Anolis sagrei: one gene and its partner. Each later gene encodes a partner of the first gene's protein in a complex. Links are inferred from orthologs where the notes say so. Each region holds a gene or a part of one and is shown on either strand. Other genes may lie near its edges.

What was found.
Region 2: ACTR3 (region 1) and ARPC5 share a complex: the UniProt entries of both Homo sapiens proteins name them as parts of the arp2/3 complex. The link is inferred for Anolis sagrei from reciprocal best matches to the Homo sapiens genes ACTR3 and ARPC5.

Annotation. Positions count from the first base shown.
Region 1 is NC_090021.1:215,782,340-215,798,020, reverse strand, and holds the start of ACTR3 (actin-related protein 3), read right to left. Parts: upstream 6,618-15,681; 5' UTR 6,312-6,617; coding exon 6,268-6,311; intron 1-6,267. UniProt on the Homo sapiens protein: ATP-binding component of the Arp2/3 complex, a multiprotein complex that mediates actin polymerization upon stimulation by nucleation-promoting factor (NPF).
Region 2 is NC_090024.1:122,444,625-122,460,320, forward strand, and holds the start of ARPC5 (actin-related protein 2/3 complex subunit 5), read left to right. Parts: upstream 1-9,788; 5' UTR 9,789-9,868; coding exon 9,869-10,011; intron 10,012-15,696. UniProt on the Homo sapiens protein: Component of the Arp2/3 complex, a multiprotein complex that mediates actin polymerization upon stimulation by nucleation-promoting factor (NPF).

The DNA of each region.
Region 1 (15,681 bases):
TAAATAGGGCTTAGCCTGTCATCCAAAGACAGCATGGAGTGGGTAATAATAATAATAATAATAAACCTTTATTTGTACCCCACTACCATCTCCTGAAGGACTAGGTGCGGCTTACAAGAGGCCGAGCCCAAATACAACAATAAAAATAGCAGCAGCAACAACAACACAATAACTCAAAAAACAAAACAATAGCAAAGAATAGCAATAACATTAACAACACCCAATGACGCAATTAAAAACAATGGCCGGGCCAAGTGCTGGGCATGACAAGGTGGGGTGTTTGGAGGGGGATGGGCATGCAGATATCCTGGATCTCTGATAAAGTGCGTTGGGACATAATGCTAGGAGTTTCCTTATTCTGGAAAGGCGCACTGGAACAACCACGTTTTCAAGCTCCTCCTAAAGATTGCTAGCGACGGGGCCTGCCTGATCCTGATGACTTTAGGGAGAGAGTTCCAGAGTCGAGGGGCCACCACCGAGAAGGCCCTATTCCTCGTCTCCACCAATTGCGCTTGCGATGCCGGTGGGATCGTCAGCAGGGCCTCTCCAGATGAACAAAGAGATCGTGTGGGTTCGTACACAGAGATGCCTAGCTTCCCTTTAAAGGTACTTCCACAACCTGAGAGGAGCCTTCTTGTCTCCTATGTAGTAAAGATGGCGTGTTTCCAGTTCCATGTATGTGAGTAACATGATTAGAAAATTGTGTGAATGAGTACACTGCCATGCTATGTTATCATAATTAACAGTTTACATATATAGAAGACTATGCTAATTTCTTACAAAAGAAAACAACCTGATGCCCAAGATTCTATATTTTCTTTACATGCAATTTCAAGGAAGTAGTTTCATTACTAGGACAGTTTCTATTCTGAGTAATGGACTGTACATAGGTGAGCAAACTGAAACCTAACCATGTTAAGGCAAAAGTGTTCCTGGTTTGTCAAAAAGCAAACCAGGGAATAAGGATTCAATCTGTGCTAAATGGGATTGCATTCCCACTGAAATTACAGGTTTGTTGCTTGATTGTAATTTTGATTTTAACCCTAAACCTGAATGTTCAAGTTTTCATAATAGCCATGAATGCATCTGCACTGTTGGGGCTAATGTATCACTTGTTGTTCCTGGATGTTAGATATGGGTACAGCACACTCACCACTTGAATATCTTCCACTTGGGCCACTACAGTATAGCACTCTACATGGGGCTGCAACATTTGCTTAATCTGTATATTGTCTTATTTTTAATTCTACCTTAGAATCATAGAATCATTGAGTTGGAAGAGACCTCGAGAGCCACCCTGTCCGACCCCCTGCCAAGAAGCAGGAAAATCGCTTTCAAAGCACTTTGCTTTAATTTGTTCCACTCATGAACCCTAGTTAGAAGAAAGGCTGGGTATCAATTAAATAAATAAATTGACTTTAAAAATGATCTGCAAAATAATGGCATAGGCTCCAATACACAGTAACTACCACATGTCCTCAGAACAGTTTATGATTGAAGAGTATTTCATATTTATAGAAATGCAAATATTTTTTAAATGAACTGTAATTACAAAAAATGGATGCTTGGAATCAATGGCTTAAATAGGACACTGCCTAAGAAGTTCATAATCCTAATGTGCAAGGTAATTGAATATAATGTGAACAGAATATTACCTTACACACACGCATGTCTGTATGTATGTATCCTCAGGTTCACAATTTATGCATGTTGTACCACCAACCATAAAACAAGTTTCATAGTTTATGTAAGATAACTATTTAAAAATCACATGCTATGAAAAACAGATTTTATCACAGTTTGTGGAATACTTCTTTTTTTAAAAAAAAGGTCATCTAGTCTCACCCAAGTTACGATGTCATACATTAAACATTACATTTAACTTTACTGTGTCATCATGACTGAACTGACAAGCCATCTTTTGCACTATACCAGAATTAGAAATCAAGTTCTGTACTACAGTTTGGCATGGTGTTCAAATAAGCTAATCTTAGTTGCAGATAGTGTAACCCAATGCACCTGAAAGATCAATCCACTGTGAGTACAAATCAAAATTTGGTCCATGTCTGAAATGAACCATTCTGATACATGTTCGAACCTATAAATCAATCTACCATCATTCTAAATTTTCATTATACTGCATTTTTAAGATCTCAGTTCTGTAAGAACCTCCATACACACTTAGCTTTCAAAACTCAATTAACTTTTAATTAAGCAGGATCGTTTAACACTCCAGTTTTGCTGCAGGGAAAGGAACATTCAGGAGAATCTCAGGGACATGAACCAGGCACTGCAGCTCCATGTCTAACTGGAGACCTGCATTTCCCCTTTTCACTTTTAAATGTTCAGCTCTTAGTATAAGCACATTGTTGCATGAAGAGTACCTCATAAGTCATCTATAACAGGAACTGAAGTAATCAGAAAATAAATCTTTACAGGTAAACACAACATTTGTGGGCTATGAGAATGAGAAGGAAATACATAGTAGTTTCCAATCAACTTATTCATTTAAACAACCATATCTTTACATTAAAGCCAATCCGCATCAACAGAAGAGACAGAGAAAGGTGTAGGGTAGAATGGCATCAGAACAATTCAAGTCAGAGGAGTACAATACATCATTGGAAATTGAAACTATACATAAGAACCCGATGAATACAAATCAATATTCTAAAACAGGTATAGGACTCAGGTAAGTAAGCAAGTATCTAGGCAGCATGTGCCCATTAACACTTACAGCAATGCCCTAAACAGTGGTTCTCAACTTGTGAGTCCCCTGCTGTTTTGGCCTACATCTCCCAGAAATCCCAGCCAGTTTACCAGCTGTTACTATTTCTGGGAGTTGAAGGCCATAACATCTGGGGACCCACAAATTGAGAACTACTGCCAAAAAACCTCTTCATTGGGTTCAATGTTAAGTGTTAATAACTGCTTCAGCTTCCTCTATTCCAAAATCCAGCCCAAAACAAGCAAAACAAAAAGGTTACTGGATGTTACTGGAAAATCATTTCCAGTTTCAGAAAACTGTGGTATGCAACTCCCATGAAGGACTGAGGGCACTTAAAATGGGTCCCCCTATTCTCTATGTGTCTCCTCTACATGCTAAACATAAAATAAGCAGCTTCAGTACTGAGAATGTAATTCCAGGATAATAGCATTGAGACCTCCCATCTTTCAATTTTCATAGGAATTCACAAATTTAGTTTGTTATTTGAAAGAACTATTAAAGTTGTCTGTGCAATTTTATCTAATATTTTAAAAATCCTGCCTTCAATTGTCAAGAAGCAATTCAGGAATTTTTTGCAGAATCAGGAATTAAATCCCTTATTCACTTATGATTATCCCTACCTCTTTGACCCACAGATCATTTTAACATTATAATTCACACTGAGTTCTCAGAGATGTAAAGAAGCCTCATATAGATGTGCATAGTCAAAACTTCATTAAAAAAGGTTTTCGAAGGAGAAAACGTGACTTATTAAGTATTGTGTGATACTGAATCACCATAAGTTCACCAAAACAACACAGCTTCCAGAAATGTATAACAGTAGAAAATCAAAAGAATTTATATATTAAGATTTTCATTATAGCTTTAATTTTAAATAGTCAGAGACTAGCTGTACTTTAATCCTGTGATGTTTTTTCCTACTCTTTTTCTCACCTACACATGCTTTTTCCAGATTGAAAAATAAGCTGAAGCGGTTCCTATTGATCTACACACATTTGCATGTTTTCGAACTGCTAGGTTGGCAGAAGCTGGGGCTAGCAGCGGGAGCTCACCCTGCTCCCTGGATTCGAACCACTGACCTTTCAGTCAGTAAGTTCAGCAGCTCAGCAATTTAACTCACTGTGCCACCAATTATATGGGCTGTAAAAGCAGACCTGTTATGTTATTATTTCATTGCTAGATGCTGCAAATACAATCTACATATCAAAATGCTGCTGAGTTATTTTCAAAGTCATCTGCATATGCACTGAGCAAAGGTCTTCACAAAAAGAAATTTCCTTACGCCCAGTTTCTTAAGGCACCAAAAAGAAAGATACAAAACGCTCATTTCAGGAAGTCCCCAATGGCTTAGTTCACTGTCTGCTGGAAAGCTCCATTCTATAAGCAGATATTAAATATTGAGCATTGCTATTTTTCCTTGCAGCTGTCAATTGTAAAATTTAAAAAAAGGATTTGGTTCAGGTTTGACACTGAAAACTGCCTTATAAGGTATAGAAGCCTGAAAGGAGGAAGAGCCTTTGACAAAACTAAGGAAGTTGGTTTGCGCTTGCTCACTAGAGCGGGTGGACTTTTTTTTTCACCCACACACAGAGAAGTAATGCTGAAGAAATGACACATATGGAAAAAACATGACATTGCTTAATAAAGCTACCGCTCCACTAGATCTATCTGCAGATTACAGACAAGAGGGTGAAATCCTTTCAAAATTATTTGTTAGCCGGCTTTGATTTGGAAAGCATAAAATATTTAAACTGTCTGAGCTTGACTCTGTGGCTAAGCTGCATGAAAGTGCACGTTTTCATTATGAAAGAAATGGGGAAGCTCTGCTTCTTCAAAGAACTAAAGGGTGAAATTTCTAGGCCACTGAAACGAGTAGAAAAATTATGGTATGCAATGATAATATTAGGGTGCAAACACCCAGTTTCCAGAGGACATCCTCCTAATGGAAAACGTCCAGTCAGCCTTTAAATGAACAATGAACAGAAACAGTAGCGATGGCATCTTCCGTGACTTTATAATGGGGAGACAATGCAAGCCCACTTCCAGAAAGGAAAGAAATAAAGAAGTGCATGAGAGAGGCCACCGCCTCTGAGGAATGAGCAAAAGGCCAATCCCACATATTTAAACCTGGAAGGAGCCCTGCTGTTTTAGGGCGTGACTCCCTTCTCCTCCCACAAAGCCACCTTCCTGAAGGTGGATGCCTTCAAGACAAGAACAGGCTGAGCAAACCGTCAAAACGACAGCCATGGAGGAGACAGGTCCCCTTTCTCCAAAAGCAAAATCCATATATATCCAACTGCCTGCTTACTTTACACACCTCTGAAAATGAAATACAGGGTTCCCTTTCCCCCCTCAGATGGTTCAAAGCTTTTTCTCACCTCACTGACACCCCTCTTCATGTATGTATGTATGTATGTATGTATATGTATGCGTATATAAAACACACTCACCTCACAACTTGTAGGGTTAGCAATGAAGGGGGGGGGGAGGGATGTCAATGAGGTGAGGAGAAGCTTTGAATAATCTGAGAGAGAAAATAAACCCTGTACTTTTTTCAGGGGTGGGTAAAACAGGCAGGCTGTTGGACCCACACACAACTTGGAGGGTTTGCAACAGAACAGAGGGAGCAGTGGGGGGGAAAGAGAGCCAAAGGGGGGGGGGATTGGCTATGCCTCGGGGAAAGGAGGAAGGAATAGCCACCTTTTATTTCATTTTCAAATGGGGGTAAAGCAAACAGTTGCCCCATCACACACACCCACACAAATATATCCAACCTAATAATATTACAGTAGAGTGGTATAGCACAATGTAGTTATATATAATACTAATATTGTGCTATGCTAATAATACAATATATTGTGTATATATGTAACTTGTAAGCCGCTCTGAGTCCCCTTCAGGGTGAGAAGAAGGGCGACATATAAATGTTGTATTATGTGTGTGTGTGCACACACATACACACAACTTGATGGGTGTGCAATGGAGAAGGGACGAGAAAGTGGAATGTCAATGAACTGAGGTTTAGATGTACTTAAAAAGGGACCTTTTCTTTGATTTGGGAAGGGGTGGGTTGAAGCAGGCAGTTCCACCCCCTCACCCCCCGCCCCACACACACACACACACACATACTCACACACATGCATACACCATACAATACACACACACATCTATATACATCACACACATATTATGTATTATATTATATACACAGAGAGAGACCTTTTATTTGATTTGGGAAAGGGGTGGGTTGAAGCAAGCAGTTCCCCCCCCCCCACATACACACACATGCATACACCATACAATGCACACACACATCTATATACATCACACACACGCATACATTATATATTATTTTATATTCACAGAGAGAGTGGGGCCGCCCCCAAAGGGAACCGCAATGGCAGCCTTCCCTTTCCCGTCTCGGCGACCTGTCAGCAGCCAGTCAGCCAGCCAGCCAGCTCCCAGGCAGGGGCTGGCCTCCTCCGGCCCATTCATCCCTCTCTGCCCGCCTGGCTCCCTCCCCCTGGCCCTGGGCTCACCCGGTGCCACAGTCCACCACGCAGGCCGGGAGCCGCCCTGCCATCCTCCTTCCCGGGTCGAGCGGCGGCGGCGGCGACGGTGGCGCGGAGGGAAAAGAAGGTGCGGCCGAGGCGCCCGCGGGACTGGCTCGCCTCCTTCTTGCCTTCCTTCCTGCCTTCCTTCCTTGCACTCAGAGGACCGGAGGAGGAGAGGGAGGAGGGGGGCGGGGGGAGCGAAGCCACCCACTTCCGCAAAGGAGCCAGTCAGTCACTCCCAGCCTCGGCCTCGCTCCCCCCTCGCTCACACTCACACACGAGCGCGAGCCCAAAATGGCCGCCTCTTCCGTCCCTCCCGGCCGAGAGAGTCGGAGGAGGGGGGAGGAGCCGCGGAGAAAGGGGGGGGGAAGGAGGAGGAGGGGGCGGGCGGGCGCGTCAAACCGAAGCATGCAGTGACGCGCTCGCGATTCGGGAAGCGTGCGGCTGAGGAGAAGTGGCGCGGGCGGGCCCTCGGCCAGGCTTCTCTTCTTTCGCTCTCCCCGCCCCTCCTCCTCCTGCCCACTACTTCCGCTTCTCGCCTGCCTGGGTTTCATAGCCCAGCTTGAAGCAGAAAGGTGAACTCGCCCAACAGAAATCACTTTGGGCCTTTCAACTCAGCCCTATAGCCCAGAATATCAAGGCAGGGAATCCCACAATATCTGCTTTGAACTGGGTTCTATGAATCCACTTTCAGATAATGTGGGATTTTCTGCCTTGATATTCTGGGATATAGGGCTGTGTGGAAAGGACCTAAATTCCCATTCCCCCTTCTGAGGGCCCTTCCACACAGCCCTGTATCCCAGAATATCAAGGCAGAAAATCCCATATTATCTGAATATGAACTCAGAAACCAATTCAAATCAAGGCAGAAGATTCCACATTATCTGAGTGTGGACTCAGACAACCCAATTCAATTCAGATATTCTGGGATTCTCGATATTCTGGGGTATAGGGCTGTGTGGAAGGGCCCTCAGAAACCAGGAATGAATGCAGTTTAACACCACTTTAACTGCCATGGCTCAGTGTTAGGTCATCCTGTTGCTAGGATTTGCAGTTTTACAAGATATTCAGCCTTCTCTGCCAAAGAGTGTGGGTGCCATTACCTATGGTATTTGCCACAGTGTGCGTCTACACTGCAGAATGAATGCTGGGTTGCTGTGAGTTTTCCAGGCTGTATGGCCATGTTCGGGAAGCATTCCTGACATTTCGTCCACGTCTATGGCAGGTATGTGGGCAATATCAACAGAAGGTAGGAAACCATGAAAATCAAGAAAATCTGGCTAAAAACCCTCTAAAATCAGGGTAAGATTCAAAAAGCGGTAATTCCAGACCGGAAACAATCAGGGCCAGCTAGCACCTCCCAACAAAGGATTCCCCCTGGGCAGGAAGCAGCCAGGCTTTGAAGCTGCAAAGCCATTCAGTTTCAATCAAGATGGCCAGTTGCAACATTCACATCTACCTCCAACAGACAAGAGTTCTTTCTCCCACCCTGGACATTCCATAGATATATAAACCCCACACCTAATTTCCCACAGACCTCACAACCAATTAGGATGCCTGTAATAGATGAGGGTGAAACATCAGGAGAGGGTGCTTCTGGAACACGGCCATACAATCCCGGAAAACTCACAGCAACCTAATGATGCCAGCCATGAAAACCTTAAGCAGCACATAGAATGAATGCTGTTTGGCACCACTCTTAACTTCTATGGCTAAATGTTGTGGGATTCTGGGATTGTAGTTTGGTGAGGCACCTTTGGCAGAGGAGGCTCAAGGCCTTGTAAAGCTACCACTCCCGGGATTCCATAGCATTAGAGCCAATGCAGCTCAAACCGCATTATTTCTACAGTGTAGGTGCACCCTAGGGATTGGAAGGGCAGCTGTGAAGGAACTAAACAAGATCCTTAAGTATTAAGGTGCACCATTGGATACCAGAGGCATGATTGTCCGTGCCATGATAGTTCCAATTTCTTATATAGAAATGGTTGTAAAAACGGAACAGGAAAGAAAGGGTACTTATATTGTTGCTTATGATGCCTGCTTTTATTGTTTATGATGATGATGTTTTATGCTGTTTTATATATGGGCGTTCTGTTTTTAACTGTATGTTGTCTGGGCATGGCCCCATGTAAGCCGCCCCGAGTCCCTTCGGGGAGATGGAGGTGGGGTAGAAAAATAAAGTTATTATTATTATTATTATTATTATTATAAATCAGATGAGAACCAACTCTTTTGAAATGTGACATTGGAGAATTGTACTGTAGACTGCTTTAAAAAATACCAGTATAAATGGTTCTTAGAGCACATCAAGCTTGAGCTCTCCCTAGAGGACAAGATGACTACACTGAGACAGTCATACTTCAGCCATATCATAGAAAGACATGACTCACTAAAAAACAATGGGAAGATGGAAGGCAACAAGAAGAAAGGAAGACCACATTCCACATGGATGGACTCAATCAAGGAATCAATTGCCCCCCGAGTCTTGAAGGCCTGGCTTATTGATGACTTAGAACAGTGTTTCTCAATCTGAGGGTCTGGAGAGGGTTAGTGAGAGGAATGTCAGAGGGGTCGCCAAAGACCACCAGAAAACAGTATTTTCTGTTTGTCATGGGGGTTCTGTGGGAAGTTTGGCCCAATTCTATTGTTGGTGGGGTTCAGAATGCTCTTTGATTGTAGATGAACTATAAATCCCAATAACTATGACTCCAAAATGTCAAGGTCTATTTTCCCCAAACTCCACCAGTGTTCACATTTGAGCATATTGAGTATTGGTGCCAAGTTTGGTCCAGATCCATCATTGTTTGAGTCCACAGTGCTCTCTGGATGTAGGTGAACTACAACTCCAAAACTCAAGGTCAAAGCCGACAAATCCTTCCAGTATTTTCTTTTGGTTATGGGAGTTCTGTGTGCCAAGTTTGGTGCAGTTCCATTGTTGATGGAGTTCAGAAGCTCTTTGGTTGCAGGTCAACTATAAATCCCAGCAACTACAACTCCCAAATGACAAAACCAAACCCCCCCAACCCCACCAGTATTAAGTATTTGTACCAAATTTGGTCCAGTGAATGAAAATACATCCTGCATATAAGATATTTACATTACTATTCATAACAGTAGCAAAATTACAGTTGTGAAGTAGCAACAAAAATAATTTTATGGTTCAGCGTGACCACAACATGAGGAACTGTGTTAAGAGGTTGTGGAACTAGGAAGGTTGAGAACCACTGACTTCGTACCTCATCCCACAAAGGGGGAAAAGCAGGAGGAATCGTCTTCCTTCCTTTGAAATAAAACAAGAGAATTTGCTTACTCCCATCACTCCTTCCTTTTCTGTTTAACCCTGTGCTTCATTTCTCATCACATGGGCGAGTGTTGTCTCCTCCCATTCTGTCATCCGTACAGTGTAGACTCAAACAGTGATGGATTTGGACCAAACTTGGTACCAATTCTCCATACTCAAAAGTGCAATTACAGAATTTCAAAGGTCCATGCTTCAATTGCACAGTCACAGTATCAACAACAAAATATTTTTAAAAGGAGAATAGAAGTCCAAAGACTAATGGCAGCAGAAGGAGCAACAAGGAGCATGAAAAGACCCCTCACATGAGCACCCACCCTGAAATATCAGAATATGGACTGAAAATTGATAAATGGACAATTTCCCATAGAAAAATACCCATTTCTAAACAGACGGAGACGAGTGGTGTCGACTATCTTGTCTTTAAAATCCACCCGTTTCTACGGAGATGAAGACCCATGGAAGTGTCCTGTGTCATTTAATGGGATCCGTGGAATCCCATCTTTGAAGTGTGTAGAAATAGAGGACAACTTCTAATAAGGTCCTTAGAGGCCTGTCATCTATAAGGTTGCCATAACAAAGTTGACTTAATGGCAATCAACACTAAGAAACAGCTAAAGTCACCAGATCCCCCTTGGTCTTGGAGGCTAAGCAGGATTAGTCTTGGATCATACTTAGATGGGAGACCAGGTACTGTAGGCTATGTTTCTGAGGAGGTACTTTGTCTGAGTTTCTTGCCTAGGAAAATCCTGTGAAATTCATAGGTTTTGTTTTGACCCCTGGTGGTTCCAGCATGTTATCTAAGTATTGGGGAAATGCCCTTTGTAGACTAGTGATTATTTGGGAATCTGGAACCACATGTGGCCTGCAAACCACATGTAGCTTACCTATTTTTAAGCTATAAGAGTTGAAATCCACAAACATGGATTGCTGCTTATTCTCACTCGAGATAAAGAATTTACATCCAATAATATTTTGTAGTTTCAATTTAACATAGGCTTGCTGCTAAAATCTGACAACAAAGGAAATGTTCAAACTGCTTCCTATGCTTATATGCCTCTTCACAAAATGCAATATAGGTATATTTTCCTAATCTCTGGCCTCTAAATAATTGAAAATGGTTGAGCCATAAAGGAAATCTTTTGGATGTTTTCCATAAACTGCATTAGTGTAAGTGCTCCTTGAAGCCCAGATGAGGGGAGATGTTCATCTGATATTAGTGAGAATGGGTGCTGTTATTGACAGAAAATAATCTACAGTGTATGAAATTATATTTCTCCGTTCTTCACTTCATCTTTAATTGTGGGTCCTGATAATTATGGGAGATGAACATGTTTGTAAAAATACACAGATCATATATTTTCACGGTCTTCTCAGCTAACAGTATAGTGAAATGTATATGTCTGAATTGGAAGCACGATATTCACTTATTGGAAAGGCGCTTCTGCCCTAAATTGCATGTCTGAGATAAAGGTAGGATATAAATCTAACCATTGCATATAATGGAACATGAGCATCCACAAAATTTGGTATCCACAGGAGACCATAGAATAGGGGTGTCAAACTCAATTTTTATTGAGGGCCACATCAACCTTATTGTTGCCTTCAAAGGTATCTGGTGAGTGGAAAAAAAATAAGCAATATGTTACAAAATGTTGGGATCTCAACAGACCAGAGACTATCTATAATATCTGTTGCTAGGTCCTAACACAACCAAATTTTCTACTGGCTCCCACCACCATTTACTAACACAATGTTAACATGACAAATTACAATAAACCAAAATAACCAGGTCCTCATACGAGGAAACACTTCCCAGAAGCAGGGCAAGGGGATAATTTTTGGAACATGGATAAGTGAAGCCATGAACATTAAATACACTGATAACAGGGTTATATTGTAATGGCTTGGTTTCCATAAAACATCTGGAAAGCATGGCTGCATTTATCATTACTATACTTTTGCCCACTGGGCCTTGGAGCCCTTTCCACCAGTATGCTTCACTATTATGGGCATGGTAATGCCTTGGAAAAAGTTGTATTACTGCTGCGTGTTCAATGTCTTTAGGACTAATGGTGTGAGGCTGCACAATCCATTTAATTATTCATTTGGCTTCTATGGGAAACTTCCCACTGGTGTGGAAATCACATATTGGCAAGCTGTTTAACCTCAGCAGGCTGAAAGCCAAAAGTAAGATAACAACAACTTCTGTTATAGAACTCCAATATGCTGATGATAATGTGCTCATTCAAAGGAAGATTTAGAAGCCACTTTAAACATATTTTCAGAATCTATGAAAAGCTTGGCCTTTCAGTTAACATAGGAAAAATCAAAGAACTCTACCAGCAGGCACAAACTAACACAGCTTAATGGTGTAATGTTAGAAAATGTTGACCATTTCTGCTTCCATTTGCAGCCACCTCTCCACAAAAGTCATCAAAATACAACATTGTCTAATCTCTGTGAGTGCTGTGTTTTTTCGAATGAAGCAGAGAATGTTTGCGTATCGGGACATTTGTGGAGATACCAAGATGCTTGTTTATGAAGCTATTCTCCATCCAACTCTGTTGTGTGGCTACAAAACACAGAGCATTTACAAATGTCACTCTTGACTTCTGGAAAGAGTCCATCAGTGTTGCCTCAGAAAAACAAAAACCACATTGAGTCGCCTGTTTGGGCTGAAAAATGCGGTATAGAAATAAAGCAAATAAATAAATAAATAAATAAATAAAAATCCTGCAAATCTCTTGGGAAGACAGGCGGACAAACATTAGTGTGCTGGGAGAAGCAAAGACCACCAGTATTGAAGCAGTGATTCTCACCATCCATTTTGTTGGACTGGCCACCGCTGAATGCCCGGTCTCCTCCTCCCAAAGCAGTTACTTTACTTTCAGCTAAAGAACAGAAAATGGAATGTCAGAGGACAACAAAAGAGATTTAAAGATGGGCTAAAAACCTACAAAAATGTGGCATGAACACAAAAACTGGAAAGCCCTGGCAACTCAAGGTCAGCTGTTACCAAAGGTGTTATAGATTTTGAAGAGGCATGGATAAAGGGTGAAAAGAAGAAATGTGCCAAGAGGAAGGCATGGCAACCAAACCCTTGTGACCACCTTCTATCTGGAAATGTATGTCTAGTGGATCCAGAATAGGCCTTCACAGTCATTTATGAATCCATCGCTAAGACCCTGCTTCTGGAAGATAATCATACTTGGCCATGAATGATGGCCCATGATGACAAGGATTCTGCTTTTTGCCTAAACGAGACTCAAAATGGCTTACAATATAAATTGAAACAGTTTTCCATATGTCACCTGCACTTCCACTGTACCCACTGACTATTTATTCAATGACAATTAAAAGGAGTCACGTATTCATATCTCCCTGTGCATAAATAAACACATGTGTATGAACATAAGAGATTCTTAGAATAGCTAGAATCATGGATGGTGGGTACACCAGTGTTGCCCCATGGAGGTGTTGAGACCTTCTCCCATTTTCTTTTATGTAGCAAGTGAATCTCCTTCCTGTTGATTTATGTGCAGCAATGGATGTGATACTTGAGCAACGTCTGCAGAGATACTTGGGCAATCTGCTAGTGTTGATATGTTGTTTCCTGTTCTCAATAGAAGAAACAGCAAAATACAAAGATGCTTTCAACTAACAGGTATTTACTTAAACATTACTGGACTGCAGAGCCACATCAGATTTTAAGGAACAGAACTTCAATGTACAAGTCACCCTTGTCTGGTACTACAAGCTGCTGCTCCTCTAACCATTTTGGTCCCACCTGCCAAAAATGAAAGCTTTTTTTTCAAAATTGAGTTAGCACATCCTGAAGCATGAAAACAACTGAAACTTGCCTCTTAAAGTGAGAGTCCCACTTCTTTTTTCACTGAGATTGTAAACCTATTTCTGGACTGCACTGTCTTAAGATGACATACTCTCCACTCAGTATATATGCACTCAGGGTGCATTTGGTGTTGTTCATTCGTTCATTCGTTTCCAACTCTTTGTGACCTACTGGACCAGCCCACGCGAGAGCTCCCTGTCGGCAGTCACTACCTCCAGCTGCCATCCATCCATCTTGCCCTTGGTCGGCCCCTCTTCCTTTTTTCTTCCATTTTCCCCAGCATAATTGTCTTCTTTAAGCTTTCCTGTCTTCTCATGATGTGGCCAAAGTACTTCATCTTTGCCTCTACTGTCCTACCCTCCAATAAGCAGTCGGGCTTTATTTCCTGAAGTATGGACTGGTTGGATCTTCTTGTGGTCCAAGGCACTCTCAGAACTTTCCTTCAACACCACAGGACTCCATAGCACTGAGTCATGGCAGTTAAAGTGCAGTTCTACCTGGCTGTGGGACCAAGGCTTTGGGGCAGTAAAATGAGACAATAATAGAATGGTGTCCTGAGATGGTTTAAAACAGTCAATTTTAAAGTTGATATAAGTTATTTTAATGTTTGTGTATATTTATAGTTTATGTTCCGGCATTGAATGTTTGCCGTATATATGTTGTGCTCTGCCCTGAGTGCCCTGCGGGATGAGAAGGGCGGAATATAAATGTTTTAAATCAATCAATCAATCAATTTATTCTACAATGTAGCTGTAAACTCAGACAACCAAACTGATGCAGTCTCTCCTAGCTTGTCTGTTCTTCCTTACAAATAATGTTTTCCATCTTGATCTCTCTCTCTCTCTACAAGAAAGGAGATTCCATCTGAACATGAGGAAGAACTTCCTGACTGTGAGAGCCGTTCAGCAGTGGAACTCTCTGCCCCGGAGTGTGGTGGAGGCTCCTTCTTTGGAAGCTTTTAAACAGAGGCTGGATGGCCATCTGTCGGGGGTGATTTGAATGCAATATTCCTGCTTCTTGGCAGGGGGTTGGACTGGATGGCGCATGAGGTCTCTTCCAACTTTTTGATTCTATGATTCTATGATTCTCCCCCCCCCCCCCCACTCTCTTTTTGTTATTTGTATCCTGGTTTTTATCTATTAAATGTTGAAGGGTATGCAATATTTTGCGTCTATTTCCCCACCACACTCCTTCCAATAATTTTCCTTTCATTTTTCCATAGCTAGACATGTATAGGATTACAGCTACATTCCATTAATGGAAGTTCTGGTAATACATCTTTGATCATAGAATCAGCCTGGCAATATCATACATTTTTGTGCCCACTATATTTTTAACTTTCAATATTAATTCTGTCGAGGAAATTTTAAGATTTAATCTATGCCAGTAACTTTACTTTAAATAGATTTCTATTAGTACTCACACTTTAAAGGAAAGGATACTTGTTCATCAGATAATAACTGAAAATTATTATCTCAGTGGGAATTTCACTGAGATTAGTGAGTCAGAAGTGCACAAGTTCTTATGGAACTGGCTTCACGTTTGCTTGGATTCTGGCAATAATTTCCCAATGAGGTACTGTGTGTACCTACCTCACATTTATGAGACACATAGGATACAACCTGTGATATATGGAAATAACTTTGAGCAAAAGAAATCCCCCCCCCCCCGAGACACACACATGCATTTAGGAAGGAAAACAGAGTGTGTACCATAAATAGATGCAACATTTTGTGTAGTATCCTGTAAGTAATTATTAGAGATACCATAGAAGAAACAGCGACAGATTTTTTAGAAAAGGCATAGCCATATTATTCTGGAATATCAGTTTGCAAAGGGTTCTTGTAACACCTTAGAGATGAAATGCTTGTTTAATTAAGAACAGTGGTGCAAAATAGGTGTTGTCTAGTGCCCAGCCCTTGCTCTCCTGGTGCAATGAGACCTTGCTCACACTTTTACTGAACAGCTTTATTTGCCAAGGGAGCTACAACTAATATTTCCTTTGTACTACCAAAGAGGGAGAGAGAGGGAGAGAAGGAGGGAGGGAGGGAGAGAGAATAAACTAAACAGAAATGCCTTGCACTTAAAGTATGTGGGCAATAAAATCAATCTAATCTATATATATAAATTTGTTAGGGGCATCCAACGAGGAAACAAAACTCAAAAACCCCCCAACGAAACTTAACCAAAATTCCCATGCCCATAACACAACCCACAAGGTACAAACATATCTACTCAAAATGAAAAA
Region 2 (15,696 bases), on another chromosome or scaffold:
AGGTATCACCTTGTGTGGGGAGGCTAAATTAACTAATTTATGAGGCCATAAAAAGACTCCAGCATGCGGGGAATGCGGAAGTACTTCATCAGTGTCGCAGATGGACAATGAAAGCGACAGCTCCCCTGGCAGCCAGAAAAAGTTAAATAGCCTCTGTGTATGTCTGTATACGTTGTGTATCAAATTGGCATTGAATGTTTGCCATATATGTATACACTGTAATCTGCCCTGAGTCCCCTGCGGGGTGAAAAAGGCGGAATATAAATGCTAAAAAAAAAAGTTACCCTCGATGGTTCAATGGGTTAAACCCTTCTGCCAGCAGGACTGAAGACCGTCAGGTCAGAGGTTCGAATTTGGGGAGAGCGCGGATGAGCTCCCTCTGTCAGCTCCAGTTCTCCATGCAGGGACATGAGAGAAGCCTTCCACAGGATGGTGGAACACCAAAACATCTGGCTGTCCCCTGGGCAACGTCCTTGCAGATAGCCAATTCTCTCACACCAGAAGTGACTTGCAGTTTCTCAAGTTGCTCCTGACACGAAAAAAGTGAGGGGAAAACCTTTTCCCCCTGCAGGGGAGGATGCCAACTTTTTCAACAATTCTTATAGGGCCCTTCCACACAGCCATATAACCCAGAATATCAAAGCAGAAAATCCCATAATTTCTGCTTTGAACTGGGTTATCTGAGTCCACACTACCATATAGTCCTGTGCTGGTACGTCTGTACCAGGAGCTCCAACTTTATTTTCTTTCTATTAAATGTTTGCATGCATTCCAAGGCTTCGGGGATTTTGCAAAAGGTGACTTCCCTTGGTTTGCAGTCATGGGGCAAGCCACCTGTCTATCATTGTTAAGTTTGGATCCACCCCTTCTCCCAGGGACATGAGATGAGAGAGAGCCATTTTTAGTTAGTCTTACAGAAGGAAACCAAGCTACAAGACGTGGATTAGCTCCATCCACAGAAAATCTTCACTTCTTAAGAATTCCAGGGAATTCCAGGAGAACAGTCTCAGAGCTCTGGCAGGGAGCTTACAGCCTCTCAGCCTTACAGCATCTGAGGGAAACAGCCCTAAAAGGTTTCTTAAGAAATTCCAGGGGAAAGCAGCTTTCAGAACTCCAGCTGGAGAATCTGCAAGCCTTTACTGGTAGGTCTACTCGGTGCTCAAGACGCAGTTTGAATCCGGTAGTAGAACCCACACCAGTAAGGCTTACATAGTAGACAGCCTGGGAGAGGTTAAAAAAGGGTTTTCCTCTTAAAGTGAAAGAACAGTTAACGAAGACAGTTGCCTGTCCCTTGAGGACAAGAGTAAGGAAGCCACCAGTTGACTCAAAGCCTTGAAGCATTTGTTTGACTCATTGAAGATTTGAGAAGTACCTGTTTAATTTGTTCAATAATAAAGGACTTTGTTAAATCAAGAAAGACTCTAAGACCATTTCTATGGGAAAACCCTTGAAGGCCTCTCTTCGAGGCGCCCTGGCTTTCCGCTGGGCACAAAGTGCACATCCTATTCAAAGTAAATTGTTACAGGCCCAGTGCGTGACAGAACAATTCCAATTCAAAGCAGAAAATGTTGGATTTTATTCAGCTGTGTGGAAGGGGCCTTAGTGAAAGCGTGTGTCAGGAGCTGAGCTTAAAAAAGCTTGGGTTTTGAACAACATCTCCTATATAGTTTTCCCAAAAACATTTTCCACAGTCAGTCAAGAGCACATAAGTGAATTTGAAATACACACAATAGTTTAAAGTACACATTGAAAATTAATCTACCCTGTTAATGTCCCTGCTACTCTATCCTATAGTTTGTTTCTATTAGATTTACCTATGAGTTAACTCACCATTCAGCCATTGTATTTATTATTCAAACTTATATGCTGCCACTCCCCTAGGGCTTGGAGCAGCTTACAAAACAAACTGGAATCTAACACAAATTAAAACAACAGATCAAAGGTCAAAAGCCTGTCCAAAAAAATATGTCTTACAAGCCCTGCGGAAGGCTGATAAGTCCCGCAAGGCACGGACTTCTGGTGTCAGTGTGTTCCAGAGTGATGGTGCCACTACTGTAAAGGCTCTGTGTCTAGTTGCTGTTAGACGCAAGGTTTTAAAACAGAACTTCCAATAAATCTTGGTCCTCGGAATGGAGAGATCTCTGGGGCCAACAGGTCTACTCTTAGGACTAACCAACAAGATCTCAGCTGTTGTTTATTGGAGCAGAGATCACACATTCAACATGAATCGTTTGCCAGCCAATATATAGGAGTAGCAAAGTCCCTGTTGATGGAGTTTCCTGATGCAGCTGGAACTACAGCTGAGAGCATAGCAAAAACATTGCCATTGTCTAGAACAGGGGTCCTCAAACTAAGGCCTGTGGGCCAAATACGGCCCTCCAAGGTCATTTACCCGGCCCTCGCTCAGGATCAACCGAAGTCTGAAACAACTTGAAAGCACACAATAACAACAATCCTATCTCATCAGCCAAAAGCAGGCCCACACATATCTTTGAAATATTTATATTTGTTAAATTTGTTCTTCATTTTAATTATTGTATTGTTTTTAAGTGTTTTTTTTTTGCACTACAAATAATATATGTGCGGTGTGCATAGGAATTCATTCATTTTTTTTCAAATTATAATCAGTCCCTCCAACAGTTTGAGGGACTGTGACCTGGTCTTCTGTTTAAAACGTTTGAGGACCCCTGGCCTAGAAGTCACAATCTGCACCAGAGCCCTAATTAACTGGGAGGAAGGAGTGTACCATCGAAAGGCACCACAGGCTGCAGGCTTACACACAATATGCTACAAAGAATATTTAGAACCATGCTGTTAATTGCTGCCTCAAATTTACAAGAATGATGCTCACCCACTCCTTGTTTTTGGAGTTGATCAAGCCAGTTCCCAGCTTTCTGACTGCAAAATAGTATTTGCCTCTCAATTATCAAATGTGTGGGAAATATATTACTAAAGCAAGAGATTGTACAGTGAAAAGAACTCGAGTCCTTAAAGCTGAGTGTGCCCTTGCGCCTGGGGGCTATAAACATGGCTCTTCGAGTTGGCCTTTAACTGAGTGCTATATCTTGGCAATGATGACCGGAATGGACCACGACTATGAGACTGACTATGACCCATGATATGACGAAGCGGATTTTTAGTATAAGTATATGTCAAGTAGTAGTAGCATGTTATGTATTGTTCTGATAACTGTAAATTGTCTTTTCTATGTTGTTGTTCACCGCCACGAGTCGCCCCCTGGGCTGAGAGTGGCGGTAAATAAGTGCAAGTAATAAATAAATAAATAAATAAATAATTCCTAATGAAGGAGGCATCGACGTGGCATCTTTCCCCAGGGGATTGCTTCTTGCCCTCCTATAGGAAACTGGAACTCTCAAAAACCCAAAATGTTGTAAATAACTCAAAATAAGTTTTTATTTATCACAAAGAGTTATTTCTTAAAGCAATGAGCTGAAAACTTCAGAGGGGTGAAGGCAAATATACTTTACAGTCTCAATTAGTCCTGGGTCCAAGGTGTTTGAAGCTGAGAAGCCTCCCCAAGTTTCCTCTTTCCTCAATGGCTGTGAATGCCGGAGCAAACCACAACCCCAGTTCAGATGGCCTATGTTTTGAAGACTCAGGATCTTCCTTTGGTGCCAAAAGAACCGGTTTGAAGGCGCTTGGGTCTCCTCAGTGTTGTCCAGGATGATCTGGACATAAAGCATGAGTCCCAAGGGTAAAAAACCTCAGAACTGGTGCTAAGAGGTTACTTAAATCAGGGTCCTTTAGAGACAAGTCTCTTACTCACGTCCATATGGTAGGAACTCTGATGGCAGAATGAAAAGGAAAGGAAGCACTCCCCTCCTGCAGGAAGAGGTGGAGCCAAACAGTACTGATTGACAGCTATAAGTAACCAATCCATACAACTATACATAAGCAGGGTAAAAGGGGCAGGATTAAGCATGATACAACAGTTTAAATCTTGCAACTAACAGTTCTACACATAGGTGGCGCCACTTGTGCCATCACACTGAGTTTCTCTGTGTTTTTTTTTACTTCTCTTCTTCATAAGGTTGCATTTCTATAAGAGCTGGATGACAAAATGTTCCTGAAAGGGAACAAAATGTCTTTTTTATATGAAAACTGAAAGCTGTCTTCATCCTTAGCCAGGGCAATGTTGGCTTCCAGAACGTAGAAATACTTTGCTTTAAAGGGGATTCCACCTTAGTCATACTTTCAGCTATTTGTTTTTATTATTAAAACACCAAATACTTGATTTGAACTGTGCGTCCACAGGGGCATGTTAATCTAGCTTTTCTCAAAATCTTCATCAACATAGAATCATAGAGTTGGAAGAGACCTCATGGGCCATCCAGTCCAACCCCCTACCAAAAGCACCCCCGACAGATGGCCATCCAGCCTCTGTTTAAAAGCTTCCAAAGAAGGAGTCTCCACCACACCTAACTCCAGCAGACAAAAGTCCTGTGTCCCACCCTGGTCATTCCACAGATATATAAACCCATTTTCCTACTTCCAACAGACCTCACTACCTCTGAGGATGCTTGCCATAGATGCAGGCGAAATGTCAGGAGAAAATGCCTCTAGAACATGGCCATATAGCCCGGAAAAACCTACAACAACCCAGTGATTCCGGCCATGAAAGCCTTCGACAATACATATTATTATTATTATTATTATTATTATTATTATTATTACCCAGCTTATAACTCTATCGAAAAAACAGAACCTCAATATTGTACCTAACGTTTTGCTATAACTAAACCAGTTTCAAAGCAGTGTAAATTATAATATAAATGCAATCTCAAAGTTTCAAAGGAAGCGGGAAAAATAACTAATGTTTTTTGCTTGTGTCTATGTGTGTTTCAGGACTGTTCCAGTAACAGGACAAGATTCCCAGAGCCTCATGGACCCAGAGACTGAAGCTTTTTGTCAAGAGTACCTAGTACCCCATGGTACAGTGGTGAAGCCGTATTACTGGCTAAACACAAGCCAGGCCTGTGCCAGATGTCCGTATCATATAAGAACAGGGGAGCAGGCAAGGGTCCCTTATGCTGAATTCCATCAAGCTTTTGGGTTCCCCTATGGGCCAACACATCACCAAAATAAACACCTTCTCTTTTATGAAGTAAGGCACTTCTCAGGTAAACGAATGCAAAAGGGTCACGCAACGAACTGTACAGAGAATGACATCCATCCAGAATCAATGTTATTTGAAACTGGAGGCTACCTCGACTCTGTCGTACACAACTGGGAAAATGCCATGTACATAATTCTCTATTCCAACTATTCCCCTTGCAACGAGGCTGAGCACTGCTGCATAAGCAAAATCTACCGCTTCTTGATGAAGTATCCAGGAATCACACTTTGCATTTATTTTTCACAGCTGTATCACACAGAGGAGGACCTCCCAGTATCTCCATGGAACTGTGAAGCTTTGCAGAGCCTTGCCAGCCTCTGGCCTCAGGTGACACTGAACCCCCTCTGCGGTGGACTTTGGCACTCTGTCCTCCATAATTTTGTGACTAATGTCCCACAGGCAGGTTATTACCGTCCAATTTTGCCCATAAGAGCATTGACTGATAGACAGAATGCACAACACCTTAACAACATAACAGGAATGCGGTCTCCTTTCATGAAGGCCTTGCCTCAGCCAATTTATGGAAATGCAAGTGCTATGCCAAATCTGCAAAAGAACTATATGTCTGCTTTATACTCACAGCATCCAGTGCAACTGATGAATAGCAGATTGCCTCCGCTAAGAAGGCAACCTCTCAATTTGACCCCTCCCATGAATGTTTCTTCCCCCTGGAAACAGCAACCCCTACACCCCAAACCTAGAAATATTGTGAGGCACTTAAAAATGCCAAATGACTCATTAAGCAAAGTGAAACATTTGCAAGTAATTCCCAAGGGAAGAGCTGTTCACATGGAGAAAATTACTAAACAACACTGAGGCAAGCAAGCCGGCGGAGCATGAAGGCCACAGGAAGAAAAAGGATTAAATTCAGTTCAGCTAGAAAGCTATTACAGGGCTGGGCAATTCCCTTGGTACAAATAGTTACATAGGAGATATACAATGAGCTGGGAAAACTGGAGCTCATTAGCATGGAATCAGCAAAACGCACACATTATTTTCACTTGAACTGGATATTGTGCCAGGATAGAAAGCTTCAGCTGCCAGCAGCAAAAGGAAGAACCAAAAACCAGCCCTCTTTGTCATCTCTGCTTTAGCCACTGGACAGTTCCACTTGCCAAGAACGGCTGACCGCCAGCAGCCAAGTAAGGGTCAGTCCTCCATTTTTCAATTCGAATGTTAAAACTTTTTCATTTTTTTCCTGTATAATTGGTTTATATTATTACTCTATATCATTTTTTTCTTTCAACTGCCCTGTGATTATCTGACAACCTTGTGGGACATAAATACAATAAAGCCGCAGCAAACTGAGCAGACTTACCACAAAGGGACTCAGATCGGCTGTGTTGACCAAATACCACAAAGAGGTAATCCAAGGCAACATGTGGCAAGACCACCAAAGTTGCAGGATGCTCTAATTGTGGCCCAGAATTTGGAGTTTCCTATGACTTTGTCTATATAAACCAGGAGTCCTCAAACACTGCACATATCTGATTTGGACTATTGCAACGCCCTGTATGTTGGCCTTCCGATGTCTACGACCCGAAAGCTCCGTATTGTTCAGAATACGGCAGCCAGGTTACTCACAAGAAAACTCATGAAATGCCATATAACACCAGTGCTGCAACATTTACATTGGCTTCTGTAGTGAAATTGCTACTCTGTGTTAAAGTTTTGGTGCATAGCTCTATGTTTACATATGGCAGAAAGGGAAGAATAGGCACAGACAGGGTAGCAACAGCAGAGATAGGATTCATTTGCATATGTGAAGCCAATTGGTCATATGCAGATTAGTGTAGGCCCAGGATTTGAAAAGGCTGCTAGGCCAAAATGACAGTTGGGGAGAGCAGAGCTGAACATTCCAAAGGGGCGGATCCAAGGTTCTAAAAGAGGCAGTTAGAGTGAGGGAGTTTGAAAATGACAGTTTGGAATCTGTGTGTGAAGAGTTGGTTTTTGAGTGCCTGATAGAAATAAACAGTTATGAAGATGTGTTAAAGACTTCTGATACAGAGAAGCAGTTAGTAAATAGAGCTCGAGTTTAAAGGAATATAGAGAAGGCTAGTGTTGCCTTAGTTCAGAATATAATTCAGCCAAGAGTGTGTAAAGCAAGTAACATGTTTGTGAATATGAAACATTGAGAGTTTATTCAGAAAAGTTAACCAAGTAAATGATATTGACTGTAAGCCTCAAGATTGCAACAAAACACAAATGTAACCACAAGCGTTGGAGCCAGAAGTTATAAATAAACTGTGTTACTTGGTTTTACACAAGAGTGTTTCATTGCCTGCGATATACAATACAAAGGTTTGACAGCACACAGAAAGCCCCTACCAATATAAAAGAAGAAACTGAATCAGTATAAGGCAGCAAAGAAGTTTTTAAAAGAGGAAATAGTCTCTCTCCCTCGCCTCAGCTTCCAAATGAGTACCGTGGCCTGTATAAGATGTTAGTTCTGACCTTTACGGCCAGGGTCCATCATACCTTAGGGAGCGCTTCTCCTCCCATCATCGGAGGTCGCAACAACCAGCCCAACGCAACTTACTCTATAGACCGGGTCCTAGAGAAGTGCACTTGGAAAGTACCAGATGCAGGGCTGCTGTGCCCAGGCTGGTTCCTCAGGTGCTCTGCTATGGCTGACTTCTCCGGTTAACGTGGTCTGCAGTGCCTTTCATGTTCCTTGATTTGTGTTTGGGCAATGCTGCGTTTGGTGGTCCCTATGTAGACTTGTCCACAGCTGCATGGTACACAGTAGACTCCTGCAGAAGTGAGAGGATCCCTCTTGTCCTTTGCTGAACGTAGCATTTGTTGGATTTTCTTGGTGGGTCTGAAGATAGTTTGTATGTTGTGTTTCCTCATCAGCTTCCCTATGCGGTCAGTGGTTCCCTTGATGTATGGCAAGAACACTTTTCCTCTGGGTAGATCTTCGTCTTTATTCTCATGGCTTGGTCTTGGTCTTGCAGCTCTTCTGGTGTCTGAGGTGGAGTATCCATTGGCCTGTAGAGCCCAGTTGAGGTGGTTCAGTTCATCTTGGAGGAGGTGGGGTTCGCAGATTCTTTTTGCACGGTCTGCCAAGGCTTTAATGGTGCTTCTTTTTTGACTTGGGTGATGGTTGGAGTTTTTATGTAGATATCTATCTGTGTGTGTGGGTTTTGAACAAAATGAACAAAATCTGGCTACCAGTATTAAAAACTCTAAAATCACAACAGCACAGCAACAGAGAAGAAACAAACAAGGACATCTAATCACCTCTCAACAAAAGATTGCCCCAGGCACTGCCAGGCCATCAAATGCTAATCAAGGTGGTCAGTTGAAATATTCACAATTTCCCCTTCCCTTCTGCTTTCCCCTTCCCTTCTGCTCCCTCACCCATATTGTGCTTGAATCGTTATATTTATATTTTTAATGTACCAAACATACCAAGCTTTTATGAAAATGTGACTATTTTCTGTGCTGGTCAATGACCGAAATAAATGATTTGATTTGAAACATTCACACCTAGCTCCAGCAGACAAGAGTCCTTTGTCTCGCCCTGGTCATTCCACAGATATATAAACCCATTTTCCTACTTCCAACAGACCTCACTACCTCTGAGGATGCTTGCCATAGATGCAGGCGAAACGTCAGGAGAGAATGCATTTAGACCATGGCCACATAGCCCGAAAAAACCTACAACAACCCGAAGAGGATGTTGTTGTGAGAGGGGTCAAAATGTCTTCCTCTATTAGGTTCTTGTGGGTTTTTTCGGGCTATATGGCCATGTTCTAGAGGCATTTCTCCTGACGTTTCGCCTGCATCTATGGCAAGCATCCTCAGAGGTAGTGAGGTCTGTTGGAATTAGGACAATGGGTTTATATATCTGTGGAATGGCTGGGGTGGGGCAAAGAGCTCTTCCCTGCTGCAGCTAGGTGTGAATGTTTCAACTGATCACCTTCATTAGCATTTGAAGGCCTGGCTGAGCCTGGGAAAATCCCCTGTTGAGAGGTGTTAAGATGTGCCTGGTTGTTTCCTCTCTGTTGTTTTGCTCTTGTAATTTTTGAGTTTTTTAATATTGGTAGCCAGATTTTGTTCATTTTCATGGTCTCTTCCTTTCTGTTGAAATTGTCCACATGCTTGTGGATTTCAATGGCTTCTCTATGTAGTCTGACATGGTGGTTGTTGGTGTGGTCCAGCATTTCTATGTTCCTTTATTGTCTGTTCCGCTTTACGGCGACACAGGGAGATACTTTTCCCCTGTTACGGCTAAACCCAAAGAGGGGCGTGGCCGAGCACTTCCGCCCTCACCGAAGACGCTGGGCGCGTCAGAGGTCACGTGCTGCTCACACCTTGCTCTTTCACCACGTCGGTCCGCAATTCTGCGCATGAGCGAGACCTCTGGGGGGGGGAGGAAATGATAGTTTGGCGCCTGCGCAGTAGAGTAATAACAAAGCAAGCGGTTATATCGTTGGTAACAAGACTTGTTAAAAAAGCAAGGTGGAGATATGCATCTGGGCCGAGTCTCAGTCTCCTATGTATTTCGCAAAGGCAAGTGCCGCGCGGCGGGAGAGTCCGCGCGCTCGCTCGCTCCCCCCCCCCCAAGCGCGAGCGCTTCTCCAGCGCATGCGCGGCGCCTCTTTCTTGACGCGAGGCCACCGCCTCCGCTTGGGAGGGAGGGAGGGAGGAGCGCCGCCTTCTTCTTCTTCCTGCTTTCCTTCCTTGCCTGAGGGAGTGAGGGAGTGAGTGAGGTGGGGCGCAGCCATGGCGAAGCACACCGTCTCCTCCGCGCGCTTCCGCCGAGTGGACGTGGACGAGTACGACGAGAACAAGTTCGTGGACGAGGAGGACGGCGGCGACGGGCAGGTGGGCCCCGACGAGGGCGAGGTGGACTCCTGCCTCAGGCAATATCCTTCTGCTGGTTTGGCCCTTGAGGGAGAGGGGGAGGGGGGAGGGAACAAGGCTTCCGGCCCACCAAGAGCAGTGCAATCTCCTCGCCTCCCCCACACACCTCAGTACCATGCAAGTTGGGAGGGAGCATTTGGCAGGACACTTGAGGCATCCACAGAGAAAAGGGGCAGGCCCAGGGCTCTTCCACACAGCCATCTAACCCAGAAAATCAAGGCAGAAAACCCCTGGTTTGAACTGGGCCATCTGAGTCCACACTGCCATATATCCCAGTTCAAAGCAGATCATAGAATCATCCAGTCCAACTCCCTGCCAAGAAGCAGGAATATTGCATTCAAAGCACCCCTGACAGATCATAGAATCAAAGAGTTGGAAGAGACCTCATGGGCCATCCAGTCCAACCCCCTGCCAAGAAGCAGGAATATTGCATTCAAAGCACCCCTGACAGGTGGCCATCCAGCCTCTGTTTAAAAGCTTACAAAGAAGGAGCATCCACCACATGCTCATCCGGAGTTTTGGAGTTAGGTGCCATCTCTATGCAGATGACACACAACTCTACTACTCATTTCCACCTAATTCCAAGGAGGCCCCTCAAGTGCTGGACGAGTGCCTGATCGCTGTGGCTGTCTGGATGAGGAGGAACAAGCTGAAGATCAATCCCGACAAGACAGAGGTCTTCCTGGTCAATCGTAAACCAGATTGGGGTATAGGATGGCAACCTGTGCTGGACGGGGTTACACTCCCCCTGAAGTCAAAGGTCCGCAGCTTGGGAGTCCTCTTGGATTCATCACTTACGTTTGAGGCTCAGGCGTCAGCGGAGTCCAGGAGGGCTTTTGCACAACTAAGACTTGTGCACCAGCTGCGACCGTACCTCGCAAAGCTTGATTTGGCCGGGGTGGTCCATGCCTTGGTCACCTCTAGATTGGATTACTGTAATGCGCTCATGGGGCTGCACTTGAAAACGGCTCGGAAATTCCAACTGGTCCAACAGGCGGTGGTCAGGATGTTAACTGGCGCTCCTTACAGGGAGAGGTCAACCCTCCTGTTTAAGGAGCTCCATTGGCTGCCGTTTACCTACCGAACCCAATTCAAGGTGCAGGTGCTTACCTACAAAGCCCTGAACGGTTTGGGACCTGCCTACCTGCGTGACCGCATCTCCATTTATGAACCCATGCGCTCCCTTCATTCATCCGGAGAGGCCCTGCTCGCGATCCCACCTGCGTCACAGGCGCGTTTGGTGGGGACAAGGGACAGGGCCTTCTCTGTGGTTACCCCCCGACTCTGGAACACCCTCCCCAAAGACATTAGACTAGCACCCATGTTGGCAGTCTTTAGGAAGAACTTGAAGACCTGGCTATTCTGATGTGCCTTCCCAGAATAGGATAACCCCCAGCACCATGTCCCAGAAACACTTTATTAGAGTTAAGATTCTCTGCACATTGCACTTACTCAGAATTCCAACATACCACCGTCACATCCAGCACTTTTTAACCTGTACCCATCATTGGCCCGGCCTGATTTTAATGTGTAATAGTGTAATGTTTTTGTCATTGCTTATGTTTTAATTTTTGCTTTGTATTGTATTGTTATTGTTTGCTGTTGTTGTGTTGAGGCTTTGGCCTTTGTAAGCCGCATCGAGTCCTTCGGGAGATGCTAGCGGGGTACAAATAAAGTTTAATAATAATAATAATAATAATTTTTCATTTATGGTGGGAATGCCCCCAAGTGAAGAATTTTTGGAAGGATATATTTACCGAAATAAACAACATTATAGGATCAAATATTATGCCGGATGCTAGGTTAGCATTAGTAATGGACACCACGTAGCTGAATGTAGAAACAAGTAAGAAAGAATTGGTGACTATTTTGCTCAGAGTGGGAAGAATTATAATAGCAAAGAATTGGAAAATAATAACTAATCTAACACTGGAAGCAAGGTATAGGGAAGTTTGGAATGTAGCTTTAAATGATAAACTAACAATGGAAATGAGGGTATTCAGGGGGGAAATTAACAGATCAGATTTTGAGGCATACTGGTTGGTCTTTATTAAATATGTCTTAGAGAGCGAAAATGGAAAACAACAGAATTTGGTTGGTCAGGAATTTTGGAGATGACATTTAATTAATGGTTGATTTAGAAATACATGGTGAAGGAAATGATACTTGTTCAGGCCTTGGTGGTGGGGCTATGTGAACACTGATTATTATTATTATTATTATTATTATTATTATACCCTGCTTTATGAAGGGGACTCAGAGCAGCTTAACACAAAAGCATCAGCATAACAATTTAAAAATATACAAATATGCAAACATTAAAACAGGATTAAATATAACCAGAATTTTTAAAAATCCTAGTTAAAAACCGTCAAAACACATTCAAAGTTAAAAATCACAGCGCACCCTTAATTGATCTTAAACACCTTCATGCTTCTGAAACTGTGGGTCCCGATCCCAAATAGCGTCCCCTTAGCTCAACGTTCGGATCACAAAAAAATTGACAACGGTAAAGAGTTTCTGAATGCTGAAGCACTGAAGCAATGTTCGGCCTTTCTGCACAGCCATATAACCCAGAATGCTTTGAACTGGGTTATCTGAGGGCCCTTCCACACAGGCCTGTATCCCAGAATATCAAGGTAGAAAATCCCACATTATCTGAGTGTGGACTCAGATAAACCAGTTTAAACAGAATATCAAGGCAGATAATCCACAGTATCTGCTTTCAACTGGATTAGCTGAGTCCACACTGCCATATAATATATCAGTGTGGATATTGTACAGCTGTTTGGAAAAGGCCTTTGTTAGTAATAAATTGCAGCGTTGCAGTGGACTCAGCAAAAAATGTTTCAGGTGTACTCCACAAAAAGAAAAATCAGCCTGTTTAGCAAGCCTTGCAAATGCTTTTTATTACCAGTAAATACTTGTATTGTTGAGGGCTTTCACAGCCGGAATCACTGAGGTGCGTGATTTCCAAGCTGTATGGCCATGTTCTAGAAGCATTTTCTCCTGAGGTTCCATCTGCCACAAATGTCAGGAAAAAAATGCACTAACAATACGGGTCATACAGCCCGGAAACCACACAATGCCTGAGTAAATATTTTATTTTATACCTATTAGATATATCTATGTATCTGGGGTCATGTAAAATTCCATGGCAAAAAGGGAGTCACAAGTGGAAAAAGTTTAAGAAGCTCTGGACTAGATGACACTACTGTCTCTTAGCCAACACTCCCCACATCTTAATATGGATAGGAAGTATTGATGGCCAGTCAGGAGACTTACTGAAGTGACATATCTGAGATACTCTGAATATCAAAAGAATCATATGCGTATTTGCTTCATCATCATTATCATTCATTAATTCTTTGCTTAGGATTGAAGCCCGATTTTATAGATGATCACATATAAGAAGGCTTGATAAGGGATTACTCTCAAGTTACATTGCAGAAGAGTGCAGCTGAATTTTGATTATAGAGGTCTTTATGTGGGAATAAATCCACTCAAACTTCGTGGGATGAAATGAAAATAAATATACATATAATTTGCCTGTAAAAACAAAATATCATGTTTATACTGGATCTTATGGTATGTGTGTATGTATATATATGTGTGTGTATGTATGTATGTATATATGTGTATGTGTGTGTGTATGTATGTGTGTGTGTGTGTATATATATATATATATATAATCTGTTATATTATAATTAAGGTATGGTTGAGATTATAATTCTCGGATGGAGAGCAATTAATAAGTAATTAAATATGATGATGATGATAATTAACACAGCATGGGAATTGGGATAGAAAATAAAGAAGAGTGGACTGAGATTTGTATTAAGTAGTTCCCCACAGCTCTACCTCACCAGATTTCTGCATAAACTTCTGACTGACAAATGACTGCTGAGAGACTATTTTAACCCACACAGTTTTGAATCATAGAATCATAGAATCAAAGAGTTGGAAGAGACCTCATGGGCCATCCAGTCCAACCCCCTGCCAAGAAGCAGGAATATTGCATTCAAATCACCCCTGCCAGATGGCCATCCAGCCTCTGTTTAAAAGCTTCCAAAGAAGGAGCCTCAATATGAAGTTGGGGATAAAAAGGTTGCCACTAATGCCGAAATACCTTAAAGGCACCATCTGATATTCAAGGTGAAGCAGTGTCTGCCCTGGTTTGTGTTGGATGGGAGACTGTTAATAACTGTTAGGTGCTGTATGCTATATTTCAAAGGAAGGAACTACCTCTGAGTATTCCTTGCCTAAGAAAAGCATTTGATATTCATAGGATTGCCATAAATCAACCGTAGTTTGCACATACAAAACATGCATGTAACAGATGCTATTCACATTAAATCTTCTTCCAGTCAACACTGCTTTTATTTTTAATCAGCAATAAATAATTTTGCTCTAAAATATCCCAAATCTCAGCACCAAAACTCTTTGAGATTCAAAGGATCATTATAAATTAATAGGCAATTTAAAGGCACACACAACAGGTGAGCAGACAAGGCTTTCAGGACCTATTTTACCTTTTATTTAAAGTCTGGGGTCCTGCCATGTACAAAATAGTGGCTCAGGAGGGTGGATATATCCTGAAAAAAGAACACATGTTATCCTCTTGCTTCTCTGTTCACTTCTTTGTTTCAGCAGCCTGGGGACATTATAATTTTCCTGTTGTGAGTCACTAGGGAATCAGACTTGCTGATCTACTATAGATTGACCAGAGAACTACACTCCCTCTGCCTTCCTTTGTTCTATAAAATTGTTGTTTTGTAGGCCATTCTATTGCCTTTTTATTCTTTATTATATTATTTTATTTATTTATTTAGAGCTTTTATAACCCGGTCTTCTCGACCTCCGAAGAGGGACTCAGGCCGGCTGACAGCAGAAAATTCATACACAAACAGAGTAAACATAATAGCATCATAATATATTAATACAAATTACATTAATATACAGATCATACAATATCATACAATTATAAAATTATATATAAATAAAAGGAACAGAGGTGTGTATCTGTATCAGGAAGTGATTTATGTAAGAGCAAGCCAGTTTGACACTTGGTAGTCTTAGCTGTGCAAGGATTTTAAACTGCCTCCACCTTTAATACACAAAGCCTTATCTAACTTTTTACTTCCTTTGCTCCCTCTCTTCCCTTGATTTTGCCCTTACTTTTGAAAGCTGGGAAAGGGTGTGTGTGTACAATCTAAACCAGGGGTCCTCAAACCTTTTAAACAGAGGGCCAGGTCACAGTTCCTCAAACTATTGGAGGGCCAGATTATAATTTTTAAAAAACATGAATGAAATCCTATGCACATTTGTGCACTACAATATATTATTTGTAGTGCAAAAATACTTAAAAACAATACAATAATTAAAATGAAGAACAATTTAAATAAACTTATTAGTATTTCAATGGGAAGTGCGGGCCTGCTTTTGGTTGATGAGATAGGGTTGTTGTTGTTGTTGTTGTTGTTGTTGTTGTTGTTGTGTGCTTTCAAGTTGTTTAGTTGACCCTGAGCGAGGGCTGGGTAAATGACCTTGGAGGGCCATATCTGGCCCCAGGGCTATAGTTTGAGGACCCCTGGTCTAAACTATTGTTTCTCTTTCTGTTTTGTCATCCCATGATTAAACTAAACATAGAAAAATTGATCAATACCCCATAATTGCAATGTGAACTT